3 linked regions of the Ovis aries genome follow. The protein of the gene in region 3 interacts with the protein of the main gene of each other region in a pairwise test. Links are inferred from orthologs where the notes say so. Each region holds a gene or a part of one and is shown on either strand. Other genes may lie near its edges. The genes, in order: EFHC1, LRRC20 and E3 SUMO-protein ligase ZBED1.

Region 1 (3,539 bases), on a different chromosome or scaffold from region 3:
TTCTCATGTTTTGACAAAAAGGTTTTGAAGCTGCAGAACAAGAGTGAATTTTCCCAGTGGTGCAAAGATTGTCTGTGTGGTCACATTCATAATCCCACTATAAACTTCTGGGCAAAAGGGGACGCCTGGATCCTCCACCTGGATTCCAGGACACCACACCTGCCTAGCTTTCTTCCTGCCTCACTAGCTGTTCTCTGGTTTCTCTTCCAACTCTTACTGCTGGAGGACTCCAGAGTGCAATCCTTGGAGCTATTTTTTCTTCTCTGTCTATAATGGCTACCTTAGAGATTTCACCCAGTCTCGTGGCTTAAAATATCATTTATATGCCCACAACTCCCACAGCTCTCACCTGAACTCTAGGTTTATATGTCCAACCGCCTGTTTGATCACTCTACTTGCATATCTAAAGGTATCTTAAACCCCAGTATGTCCAACACTGAAACATCCCCACCACCCCACCGCCTCCAAAAAATCCTCCTCTACCTACAATATACGTCTCCATCCCAGCTGGTGGCAACTCCTCCTTTCCAGATGCTCAGGTCAGAAACATTCATCATCCTTACCTCCTCCTCCTCTCATCTCTGCTATAGCCACTGTCTTAATCATTGTTTTTAGTCACTAAGTCATGTCTGACTCTTTGAGACCCAAAATAGACTGCAGCCCACCAGGCTCCTCTGTCCATGAGATTTTCCAGGCATTAATACTGGAGTGGGTTGCCTTTTCCTTCTCCAGGGGATCTTCCCAACCCAGGAACTGAACTGGTGTCTCCTGCATTGGCAGGCAGATGCTTTACCACTGAGGCACCAAGGAAACCCAAGTTACTATATTAGACTCAGGTAACCTGTGTAAACCACCTGCCAAGCAGGAAACATGGGTTCTATCTCTGGGTCAGGAAGATCCCCTGGAGAAGGAAATGGGGACACAAAAGAGTAGGACACGACTTAGTAACTAAACAACCACCACCCGTGTATAAGAATTTCCATTGGTGAGGGAAACCTGAAAAGCTAAAATGTGATTACCCATTCATTTTGTTAAGAACTGTTTGCTGAATATCTCATTGTGCCAAAGCCAAAATGGATCTCAGATGGTCAGACATACCCATCCAATTCTGGTGCGGGAGCCTCTTGCTTTTGAATGCGGTTCTGAATCGACAGGAGTGCTTCTGGTGAATACTGGGCAGCGTTGCTCTCCATGTATTTCAAAACGTAGTCGTCTGTATCAAGGATGACGAACCGGTGGCCAAACACTGGGGAGAAGGTAGAAATACATTAGCCTGGTTATGTTTTTATCAGGCAACCAAGAGTAAAAATTCACAGACATGTATTTATGACCTAGACTAATGAACCTTAAATATCTCTCCAAACTAATATGCACTAGTTTGCTCAGTGCTTAGGGAGCTCCGAGTCTCCATCTACAGCCAACAAATGCAACCAATTTACAGTTTAATTGATAAAGGAGGATATTAAGACATTGAACCACATGTACTTCTGGACTGCAGACTAATGCCTTATACAAGTGTTCACTCAGTTAAATCCCCAATAAAGCCAGTAGGAAAGCCTGAACTCTGCTGAGACCTACCGTCAATCACAGCACCAATGAAGAAGTCACTGGGGCCATAGTATACAGGGTTTTCCACCGAGGAATCTGGTTTGATAACTTTAGTTTTGCCGAGATACTTGCCCCCAATGATACCAGAATTGCGAACAGGAGGCTCAAAGATACTGATCATGTCAGTGGCCAGAAAATAAGACAAGACAAACTGGCGGTCTTTGTCTTCTGGGATGGGGGATTCCTGGAAAGGTGAAGAAAAGAGGACATTATGAAGATACACGATCTATGCAGATGCCGCCAACTAAAATACCTACAGGGACTAGGCTACAATATAAGCCTAACATATGGAATATAACATGAATGAACAGTATAGGGGGACTCTGGAGGCCTGGACAGGGTACATTTCACCTAAGGGAAGCTCCCCCAACTCACACCAGTTGACTGTTGCCTGTGGGAATGAACGCAGGCCCAATGTTAGTAGATCTTCCAATTTTTCATGAGAAGATAGAAATATGGATTACTATATTAAATCCCTGACTTTAACATGTTGACTTCAACTCTTTAAAAGCACCAGGCAGGCCAGAGATAACATATGGGCTATATTCTACCCAAAGGTGGCTAGTCTGAAACCTCTCAGCTGACATTATGTTCAGCTTCAAGGACACTAAAGTAACTATGCAAAGTCTATGCCTTTACACAAATCCATTTCTATACATAATTTTAAAAAGAAAATTTTAAAGGAGAGGAAAATTTATGCAGATCCTTTTCTGTGTGTATCAAAGGAGTCCATGATGTCAAAACGTCTTTTTATTGGTGACGCTGATCTTGATCACTTGGTTAAGAAGATGCCTGGTAGGTTTCTCTCCTAGGAAGTCACCATCTTTCCCTTTGCAGTTAATAAATATTTTGAGGGAGATGCTTGCAAGCTATGGAAATCGTGTTTTTCCCCAAAGGGTTTCCCACTAATTTTAGCATCTGTTGATGGATCTGGTCAGCAACAAGTTTACTGTGGTGTGTGCATAATGCTAATTTTCTACCTCATTCTTTTCTTCCAGGCTTGTTCACTGAAATTCTACTATATGATAATCTCTAGGTCAATCCATGTTGCTGCAAATTATTCCAGTTTTCTTATGGCTGAGTAATATTCCCTTACACACACACACACACACACACACACACACACACACACTTCCACACAGCTTCTTTATATCCATTCCTCTGTTGATGGACATTTAGGTTGCTCCCATGTCTTGGCTATTTTAAACAGTACTGCTATGAACACTGGGGTGCATGTATCTTTTCAACTTAAGAGTTTTCATTAGGTTGAGTTCCAGTTCTGCCTCTGTCTAAGCACTAAGACCTGGGACACACCATTAACCTCTCTGATTCTTATATTTCAAAACATAAAATGAGTATAACATTATTTTGCCTGACTCATGGACAGTGTATGTGTAAATAAATTCATTTACCAACTCAACCAATAATTATCGAGTGCCTACAAAGTCTAAAGAGACACTACCCCTGCCCTCAAGGAATTCACAATTACTATGTTATAATTCAACAAACCTCTTGAACTTTAATAGTAACTCAAAGAACTTAGCCAACAATGCAAAACCTTCATTAATCAGAATTCTTTTCTTTTATTTTTTAATCAGAGGAAAATTGCTTTACAATGTTGTGTTGGTTTCTGCCCTACCAGAATTCTCAGTGTGGAGTGTTCTAATTGGCCTAGAATTTACTAGAACTCTCGTTTCAAAGCTTTGTTCAACATTTCAAAAAATATATCAGTTAACTATGTTCTCATTTTTCAAACACATTTCTATTGCCAGAGTAACATGTCAATTTCTGCTATTTATGTCTAAATAAAACACTTATATTTCTATTTCTGTTTTTTTTTTTCTTCTATTTTTAAAGACATTACCCTTTGAATTCTTATCAGTAATTTGCTTCAGGCAATTCAGCCACTGAGTGGAACATTCAGGATCTAA
Region 2 (4,324 bases), on a different chromosome or scaffold from region 3:
GAGATGGGAGGGTGACAAGACCACATGCATATAAGGCCCAAGATGGGGTAAGAGGGCCGCAGAACTGAAGGAAGAACGAACTTGAGATGATGAGAGTCTACAGTGTGTCCCCAAAACTGATCCTACAAGGCTGCCCAACTTCGCTGAGAGCTCCTTTCAGCACCAACCCAACACTGGACCTCTTTGACCAAAAAGTAGCAAGAATTTATTGAGCATGTAACAGGAGCCGACAGAAAAAGGGGTTGGGCCAGGGGTTGAGGGGCTGTGGGTGGAATAAAGCAAACTGCACTTCTTTTCTTTTTGGCTTTAAATTGTTTTAAAGAAAAATAGAGAATTGTCTGAGTCACACATGAGTGATGGAGAGAGGTATGGGCCCACTCTTCACCAAGTGTGAAGTCCCCTAGGCAGAGCCACCCTAGGATGTGAGGGGCCCCTGACTAAACAAGCAATTTGAGTCAACCAAAATCTGTATCAGCACCACCACCCTGGCTGCCCGTTCTCATTCAGTTCCATGAAAGAAGATCATGCTAACCAGTGGGAGCAATCAGTGTGCAAGGCAGCACTCCTGGAACCAGACCCCAACCACAGTGTCCCAAGACAAGTCAACCCCACAGGCCCAAGTTCTGGGCTCCTTAAGACATCTGGTCAACCCCACAGGCAGGGAAAGGGGTAACTGAAAATCAAAGTGTCCCAAAGGAGATAAATAGGACCCATCAGCCCACATAGGTCAATTCTGGGCTTGGGGTCCCAAGCACCAGAGGGCAGCCTTAGAAAATTTCAAGGAAAGTGCTCTAAAGCCTGGAGACCCTTCAGCACAAGGTCCAGACTCATACTCACACTATTGCTGACCCAGCAAAACATCCCTCTCCAACTCCTCTTTCCTCAGAGTGTGCACTATTCCTAGGAAATGTTTAATCCAACAAACGTGTCCTGGGCCCTTCTATAAGGCCCACACTGGAGGAGTAGAGGTGCAGAGACAGAACATGGGCCAGGATGAGCTACCCATCAGATAAGAGAGACTCAGCGACGAAGGGCGGAATGAGCCACATGCTGGAGGTCACGGCACCAGCCTGAAGAGCCCGTGTGCCCTCTGCCATGAGGGCACAGGGCATGGTTGGGAAGAAGGAACAGAGGCAGGGGGTGAGCAGAGGGACCCAAAATGACAAGAGAAAGAGGAAGAGAGGCAGCCAGTCTGTCCCTCAATTCCTGGGGAAGGGGGCTGGAGTCCATTCTACAACTCTGCAGGCAACCACAGGAGTCTTTTGAGGAGAGGCAACTAATCCAACCAGAGTTTTGGAAAATTATCACTGTTGTGAGCAGTCCCAGTTGTCAGCTGGAAATACCACCCTCCTCACTGGGTTGTTTTGAGAAGTAAATGATACATAATTTTTGAGAAATCTCTGCAAAATGTTAAGCACTTCCCATCTAAGTGCTTCACTAAGACATTACTAATATGTGTTTAAAACCACTTCAGATGGTAAGTTAGGATAGAATAAATGTAATGCCAGAAAGGAAGTTGTCCTGCTTTGAGAGTGCTGGCAATAGAGCCCTCTTGTATCTATAACTTGGTTTCACCTGGATACAGGTTTGGGGAGAGATGATTTTTTGCTTAAACACTGACTACAGCCCTCCGACAGGGCTCCCGCCCTCATCAATGAGAATTCTACCTTATCTGAAGCCCCAAGATCTGTGCAAAGGAGCTGCTGCAACACCCCGTGCGCACCAGCTGCTCCTATATTTAGTTACTGGTGTGGTCACTTGGGAACTTTAGAGCCTGGCAGCCGCCCCGAAGGGCAACTGGAGCCTCTTGCGCCATGTGTGGAAGCTCCCCCCACCGCTGGCTGCAGCGGGTCCTCTGGACCTCGCCAAGTTAAGGAGCCACTGGAGAAGTGAGAAGCACTCGGCTGGATCGGACCCAAGGAGCCCCGAAGGCCCACTCGAGGCCGGACAGAGTTGACCCACTTCTCCACCCAAGGGAAGAAGCCCGCAGGGGCGAGGACGCGACGGGCTGCCCGCCCTGGTTTTGAGCCACGGAGTTCGCAGAGCCCGCTGCACGCTTCTGTATGGGAATCTAAGCATCCTCGGGCCGCCACCTCCCAGGACTGAGGGCGGTGGCCAGGGCAGGGTCCCCAAGCCTCGCTCTAGGGGCCCGCCTCACCGTCTTCCCCACCCCCCGGCGCCCGCAGCCAATGGCTCCTCGCCGCCGGCCCTCCGCTCACTCGGCAGGCGGGGACTGGGAGGAATAAAGCCAGCAGAGGGGTAGAACGCTGGTGATCGCCGAGGGCCGGGGACTCCCGCCGTTCCCCGAGGCCGAGAAGCCAGCTCTGGGACAGGCAGTTCCCCAGAGCGGAAGCAAATCCTGAAAGTGTGGCTTCAGGGACGAAATTTACAATAGCCTCTTCGAACAGGGGCGCCTCCCACGGAGAACGGAGGCCCTCTTGGAACGGCTTCCCCAGGCTCCCTATTTCCTGGTACCGCGGCGCCCGCTCCCCCGAGCCAGCTGCGGTCTAGCCGCAGTCTGCAAGCCAGAACCGGCCTGGCGCCGGGCCCCTTGGCACTGCAGAAGTCGCCACTGGTGCACCAATGCTCCTTCCACCGGGTGACTTGGGGGAGGGGAGGGTACTCTCCAGAAACAGGGACATTTCTCTCCCTCTCTCCCCCAGCCCCTCCAGCGCTTAGCCTCAGACTACGTTTACTTTACGGGGCACGAAAGTGGTGCCCGATTCCGGGTCGATCTCTGCTCCACTTACGGCGACAATGCCTCCTAGCGCCCTGCGCAGCGCAGTCACGCTCCCTCGGCCGCCGGCGGCGCCCCATGCAACAGCGGCTAGCTGAAGCCGGCCGGGAGGGGCTCGAGGGGCTGCGGGCTCTGAGCGCGCGGCCGCTTGGCCAATAGCTGTGGCAGGAGGGGCCGCGAGGCGGGAGTAGGCTGCCTTGTGCAACCAATCAGCCTGCCGTTCCCCACGCCGCGCCCGGCAGCGGTGCGCCGGGAAAGGCGGCCCGCGCGCTCGCGTCCGCAGGGTGGGTCCGCTTTGTGTTCGACTTCTGGAGCAAAAACGCTCTGGATGGCCGGAGTATAGAACCGAATGCGCAACAGTTTCCAGGATCAATATGACTGAGTGTCCGGATTTGTTTTTCTCAAGGGAGCAGAGTTGAACTAGCCAGATCAGGGAGATGGGGACGAGGGAGCTTTTCTTGTAATGCCTTAAGGCGCCCATTCAGGTTTTTAGAGGCAATTAATTCTGGCTACTGCTAAGTTACTTCTCCCCTCTAGATCCCAATGTTCATCTCTATAAAATAGAAATTAAAATGTATAAATATCTACTTCACAGGTCATTGTGAGGATTAACACATGAAAAGTTTAGTGGGGTGCCAGGCATGATGGCTCAGGGAAGGGTGGCTGCTTCATAGACCTAAGTTTACAGAGGATTTCCCATAGATTCCTTTTTTTTTTTTTTTTTAAGGCAAACCAAGACCTGGCTGCATCAGGTCTTATTGGGGCTGGAGGGATCTTCCTTGACTCATGCAGGATCTTTCATCGTGGGGCACAGACTCAGTAGTTGCCCCACCACACGTGGGATCTTAGTTACCAGACCAGGCATCAAACCCACCTCCCCTGCCTTGCAAAACAGATTCTTAACCACTGGCCCACCAGGGAAGTCCCTTCCCATATATTTTTTTCTAGGCACTGTGGGGAGGACCAAAGAGATGAGGGCCTGAACTCAACCAGCAATGGTGGTCAATGAGTCAAACGCTCCAATAAACAGAAGCGTGTGTGTAAATATGTGGGAGCCCTGAAGACATAATGTTTAATTCTGCCCCCTGGGGACTGGGGCAGTTAGACGAGGAATACACATTCACCTGGGTCTTGGTGGGTGTTATCAGTTAAATTGCATCTCCCCCCAACCAATATATATATATATGTTGAATTCTTAACTCCCAGTACCTGAGAATGTGACCTGATTTGGAAATAAGGTCATTGCAGGTATAACAGGTTAAGATGAGATCATACTGGCATAGGGCGTGACTGATGTCCTTATAAGAGAAGAAACACAAAGACACATAGACACATAAGGCCTTGTGAAGATGGAGGCAGGGTAGAGTGATGTGTCTACAAGCCAAGAAATTCCAAGGATTGTGGACAAGGATCGGAAACTAAGAAGAAGCAAGGAACGGGTGTTCCCTCAGTGCCTCCATAAAGGAACCAACTCTGCTGACACCTTGATTTCAGACTTCTAGCTTCCAGAACTGTGAGAATAAGTTTCTCTCGTATTAAACTACCTGCTGCTGCTGCTGCTGCTAAGTTGCTTCAGTCGTGTCCAAC
Region 3 (4,145 bases):
GAATCTTTGCGACCCCAGGGACTGTACCGTCCATGGAATTCTCCAGGCCAGAATACTGGGGTGGGTAGCCTTTCCCTTCTCCAGCAGATCTTCCCAACCCAGGGATGGAACCCAGGTCTCCAGCTCTGCAGAAGGATTCTTTATCAGCTGAGCCACCAGGGAAGCCCCCCAAAGGCACTTTATTTGACAGTCAAACAGAGAGGCAGGGTCCTGCGGGCAAGCCACTGAGTACGATTATAATAATAAAGGGGCTCCCCTGGTGGCTCAGACAGCAAAGAATCTGCCTAGAATGCAGGAGACCTGGGTTCGATCCCTGGGTCAAGAAGATCCCCTGGAGAAGGGAATAGCAACCCACTCCAGTATTCTTGCCTGGAAAATCCCATGGGCAGAGGTGCCTGGTGGGCTACAGTCCATGAGGTCGTAAAGAGTCAGACAGGACTGAGCGACTTTCTTTTTTTTTCTTCTTTTTCTTTATAATAATAAAAACCGAGTCAAAGAAAATAGCTTCCAACATGGAGTCAGAATTGGTGACTTCCTCCCTGTAATATTTCCACATTAATTATTGTATACTGTGTGCACATTTATATAGGCCATACATACTGTTAAAAAAGAAAACATCTGATGTTTAAAGGCAAAAAACAGAACTCCCCTGGTGGTCCAATGGTTAAGACTTGGCCACTTCAATATCGGGTTCAATCCTGGGTGGGGTTGCTAAAATCCCTTATGACTCAGGGACCAAAAAACCAGAGAAACATAAAAACAGAAGCAACGCTGTAACGAATTCAATAAAGACGTTAGAAATGAAACAAAACAAAACAAAATCCCAGCTAGTCTGCATCTGAACTGGGCCTCTGGGTTACAGTTTATTTAGCTGCATACCTGGGCAAAGTTCAGTGTCTGGCCCGCCAGGATCCTCTGTCTGTGGGATTGTCCAGGCAAGAATACTGGAGTGGGCGGCCATTCCCTTCTCCACGGAATCTTCCCCACTGGGATCGAATCCTGGTCTCCCGCCTTGCAGGCAGACTGTTCGCTGTCTGAGCCCCCAGGGAAGCCCGCAACCTCCCCTGGGTGCTCTGCAACTTAGGGGCAGTGTGGGGCAAACATGGGACTGCTCTTCAGAGCCCTTCACTGTTTACAAGTCAGCCCAGGTGCCAAAGCTGCACTCTGCCTTCCACTCTGCCTTCCTCTGCAGTCTTTTCCAGTCATGCTCCGTGTGCTTTTTAAAAAACAGCACCAAAATGCAGTTTATCAGAAAACTAATCGCTTAGCTCAACATAAACCTGCGAGATGTATCTCCCCGGGTGAAGACCCAGGGAGGGTAGGAAAAAAAGTGCTCAGAGCTGCAGGTGTGCAAGGCCTGGGCCCTGCTGGGCCTTCCTGCAGGTGGAGGCACGGGAAGGCATTTGCACAAGCATAGTAACAGCCTTTCTGTTTTTCCACCCCAATCTCCCGGGGGTGGCCAGGGTGGTCAGGGGCGTTACCCACAGGCTGCCGGGTTGGGGGGGAGGGCGGTGTGGGCTATGCCAACACCCTTGAAAACCCAGTTGGACTTAAGAATCTCTGTCTCCTCTTACCCCAGATAATAAAGAGAGTCATTACAAGGTAACGGGACACCGCGCTTCCCAGAGAATACTTTGTTTCCAAAAGTAGCTGTTTTTCTCCTAAAAAAATTGACATGTCATTTACGGCACACAGACCCTAGAGTTATTTTGACACTCTGCAAGTCAAGAACAGACAGAAACACCGGTTTCCTCGATCGAAGTCCTGAGAACACCGAGGTGACCAGACAGACGGAGACTCCCTCCCAGATTGGTGGGGAAGGGAGGTGGGGGGGGGGTCCCTAATATGCGTGAAGACGCGAATGGGTCCCCGCACCGCCAAGATTGGGCCCCGAGGCTCCGCGCAGGTGGCGCAGGCCAGAGAAACCGGCGGCCACTAAACTGAAGCTCCCCTCTCCAGGGCTCCTAGACCCCCTAGAAGCCGCCTCCAGCCCCTTGGCGCGCCCCCCAACACCGCCCCAGCCCCCCAGTCCCTGCAAACCCGGGCAGGCCCCGTCCTACTGGAGCCCGCGCGGGGCCGGGATCTCGCCCCCCCGCCCCCGCCTCCCTCCGGGATGCGGGTCTGCAGAGCGCAGGGACCCCGGGGTGGGGTGGGGGGGCTCCCGCCGTGGTTGGGGCGCGCACGGATCCCCTGGAGAGACCCCAGCCCCCGGGGCGCTGGGGAGGGCGCGCCTTCCCCCAAGCCGACCCCCGCAGGCCGCCCGGCCCGGCTTCCGGGAGCGCCCGACGCGGCGCGCACGAACCTGCGACCCCCGGGCCAGGGCGCGCGGGACCCCCTGGCTACCCCGGCCCCCGGGGCGCGCGCGGAGCGGGCGGGGCGGCGGGGAGGGCGCGCCTCCTCCCCCCGCCGGGCCGCCCGGGCCTGCTTCCGGGAGCGCCCGACGCGCCCGCCTCCCCGCGCCCCTTCCCAGCTCCGCCCCGAACCTGGGGGTCCTCTGCACGGGCGGAGGGCGCGCCCCGGGCCCGGCGACGCGGGCCCCCGCCAGCCCCCTGCCGCAGCCCCGCCCGCGCCGCGCGGCCCCGGCCCCTCGCCGCCGCTCCCCGGCCGCTGACCTGGCTCCACGAAGCCCCGCACGCAGCGACGCAGCAGCTGCGCCACGACCAGCGCCGCGCCCACCGCGTACACCCGCAGGGCCGCCCGCGCCGCGGACAAAGGCGACATGGCTGCCCCGCCGCCGCCGCCGCCGCCGCCGCCGCCGCCGCCGCTTCCGCGCCGCCGGCCGGACTCGGAGCCCCGGGCCCGACGGCGGAAACGCGCCCGCGCCGGCCCGCCCCGCGCCGCGCCCACGCCCCGCCCCGCGCGCGCGCGCCCCCGACTCCCGCCCCGCGCGCGCCCCCGCCTCCCGCCCCGCGCGCGCCCGCGCCCCCGCGCGCCCCCGACTCCCGCCCTTCGCGCGGCCCCGCCCTGCGCGCACCCCCGACTCCCGCCCCGAGCGCGCCCCCGCCCTGCGCGCACCCCCGACTCCCGCCCCGAGCGTGCCCACGCCCCCGCGCGCCCCCGACTCCCGCCCCGCGCGCGCCCCCGACTCCCGCCCCGCGCGCGCCCCCGCCCTGCGCGCACCCCCGACTCCCGCCCCGAGCGTGCCCACGCCCCCGCGCGCCCCCGACTCCCGCGCCCCCGCTCCCCGCGCGTCCCCGACCCTCCCGAGCGCGCCCCCGCCCTGCGCGCGCGCCCGACTCCCGCCCCGAGCGCGCCCACGCCCGCGCGCGCCCCCGCCCCGCGCGCGCCCCCGACTCCCGCCCCGAGCGCGCCCACGCCCCCCCCCGCGCGCCCCGGACTCCCGCCCCGAGCGCATCCCCGCCCTGCGCGCGCCCCCGACTCCCGCCCCGAGCGCGCCCACGCCCCCACGCGTCCCCGACTCTCCAGAGCGCGCCCCCGCCCTGCGCACGCCCACGGCCCGCCCCCCCGCGCGCGCCCACGCTCCCCGCCCTGAGCGCGCCCCCGACTCCCCAGCGCGCCCCCGCCCCTGCTCGCGCCCTGAGTCCCGCGCGCGCCCCGACTCCAGCCCCGCGCGCGCGCCCCCGGCTCTCCCGTGCTCCCCAGCCCCTCCTGCACGCGCCCCCGTCTCGCGCGCGCGCCCCCGACTCCCACCCCCCCTGCCGAGTGCGCCCGCGCCCCAGCCTCGCCTGCCCGCGCCCCCGACTCCCGCCCCCCGCGCGCCCCCGCCCCGCGCGCAACCCCGACTCCCGCCCCGAGCAAGCCCCCGCCCCCACGCGTCCCCGACTCCCCAGAGCGCGCCCCCAACTCCCGCCCCGAGCGCGCCCCCGCTCCACTGCGCACGCCCCTGATTCCCACCTCGCGCGCGTCCCGGACTCTCCACGCGCGCCCCCGACTCCCGCCCGGCGCGCGCCCCCGCCCCGCGCGCGCCCCCGCCCTGCGCGCGCCCCCGACTCCCGCCCCGAGCGCGCCCCCGACTCCCGCCCCGAGCGCATCCCCGCCCTGCGCGCGCCCCCAACTCCCGCCCCGAGCGCGCCCACGCCCCCACGCGTCCCCGACTCTCCAGAGCGCGCCCCCGCCCTGCGCGCGCCCCCGACTCCCAGAGCGCGCCCACGCCCCAGCGCGCCCCCGACTCCTGCCCCGCGCTC

The links.
Region 1: the proteins of E3 SUMO-protein ligase ZBED1 (region 3) and EFHC1 interact in binary tests that used the Homo sapiens proteins (3 or more experiments, as listed by UniProt). The two-hybrid records come from large-scale screens. The link is inferred for Ovis aries from reciprocal best matches to the Homo sapiens genes ZBED1 and EFHC1.
Region 2: the proteins of E3 SUMO-protein ligase ZBED1 (region 3) and LRRC20 interact in binary tests that used the Homo sapiens proteins (3 or more experiments, as listed by UniProt). The two-hybrid records come from large-scale screens. The link is inferred for Ovis aries from reciprocal best matches to the Homo sapiens genes ZBED1 and LRRC20.

What each region holds. Positions count from the first base shown.
Region 1 is NC_056073.1:24,531,165-24,534,703, reverse strand, and holds part of EFHC1 (EF-hand domain-containing protein 1), read right to left. Parts: intron 1,793-3,539; coding exon 1,579-1,792; intron 1,247-1,578; coding exon 1,099-1,246; intron 1-1,098. UniProt on the Homo sapiens protein: Microtubule inner protein (MIP) part of the dynein-decorated doublet microtubules (DMTs) in cilia axoneme, which is required for motile cilia beating.
Region 2 is NC_056078.1:25,782,614-25,786,937, forward strand, and holds the start of LRRC20 (leucine-rich repeat-containing protein 20), read right to left. Parts: upstream 2,840-4,324; 5' UTR 2,751-2,839; intron 1-2,750.
Region 3 is NC_056080.1:6,131,454-6,135,598, reverse strand, and holds the start of E3 SUMO-protein ligase ZBED1, read right to left. Parts: upstream 2,805-4,145; 5' UTR 2,722-2,804; coding exon of another isoform or gene 2,613-2,721; intron 1,960-2,612; exon of another isoform or gene 880-1,959; intron 1-879. Other genes in the region: dehydrogenase/reductase SDR family member on chromosome X, read right to left, coding at 2,613-2,721.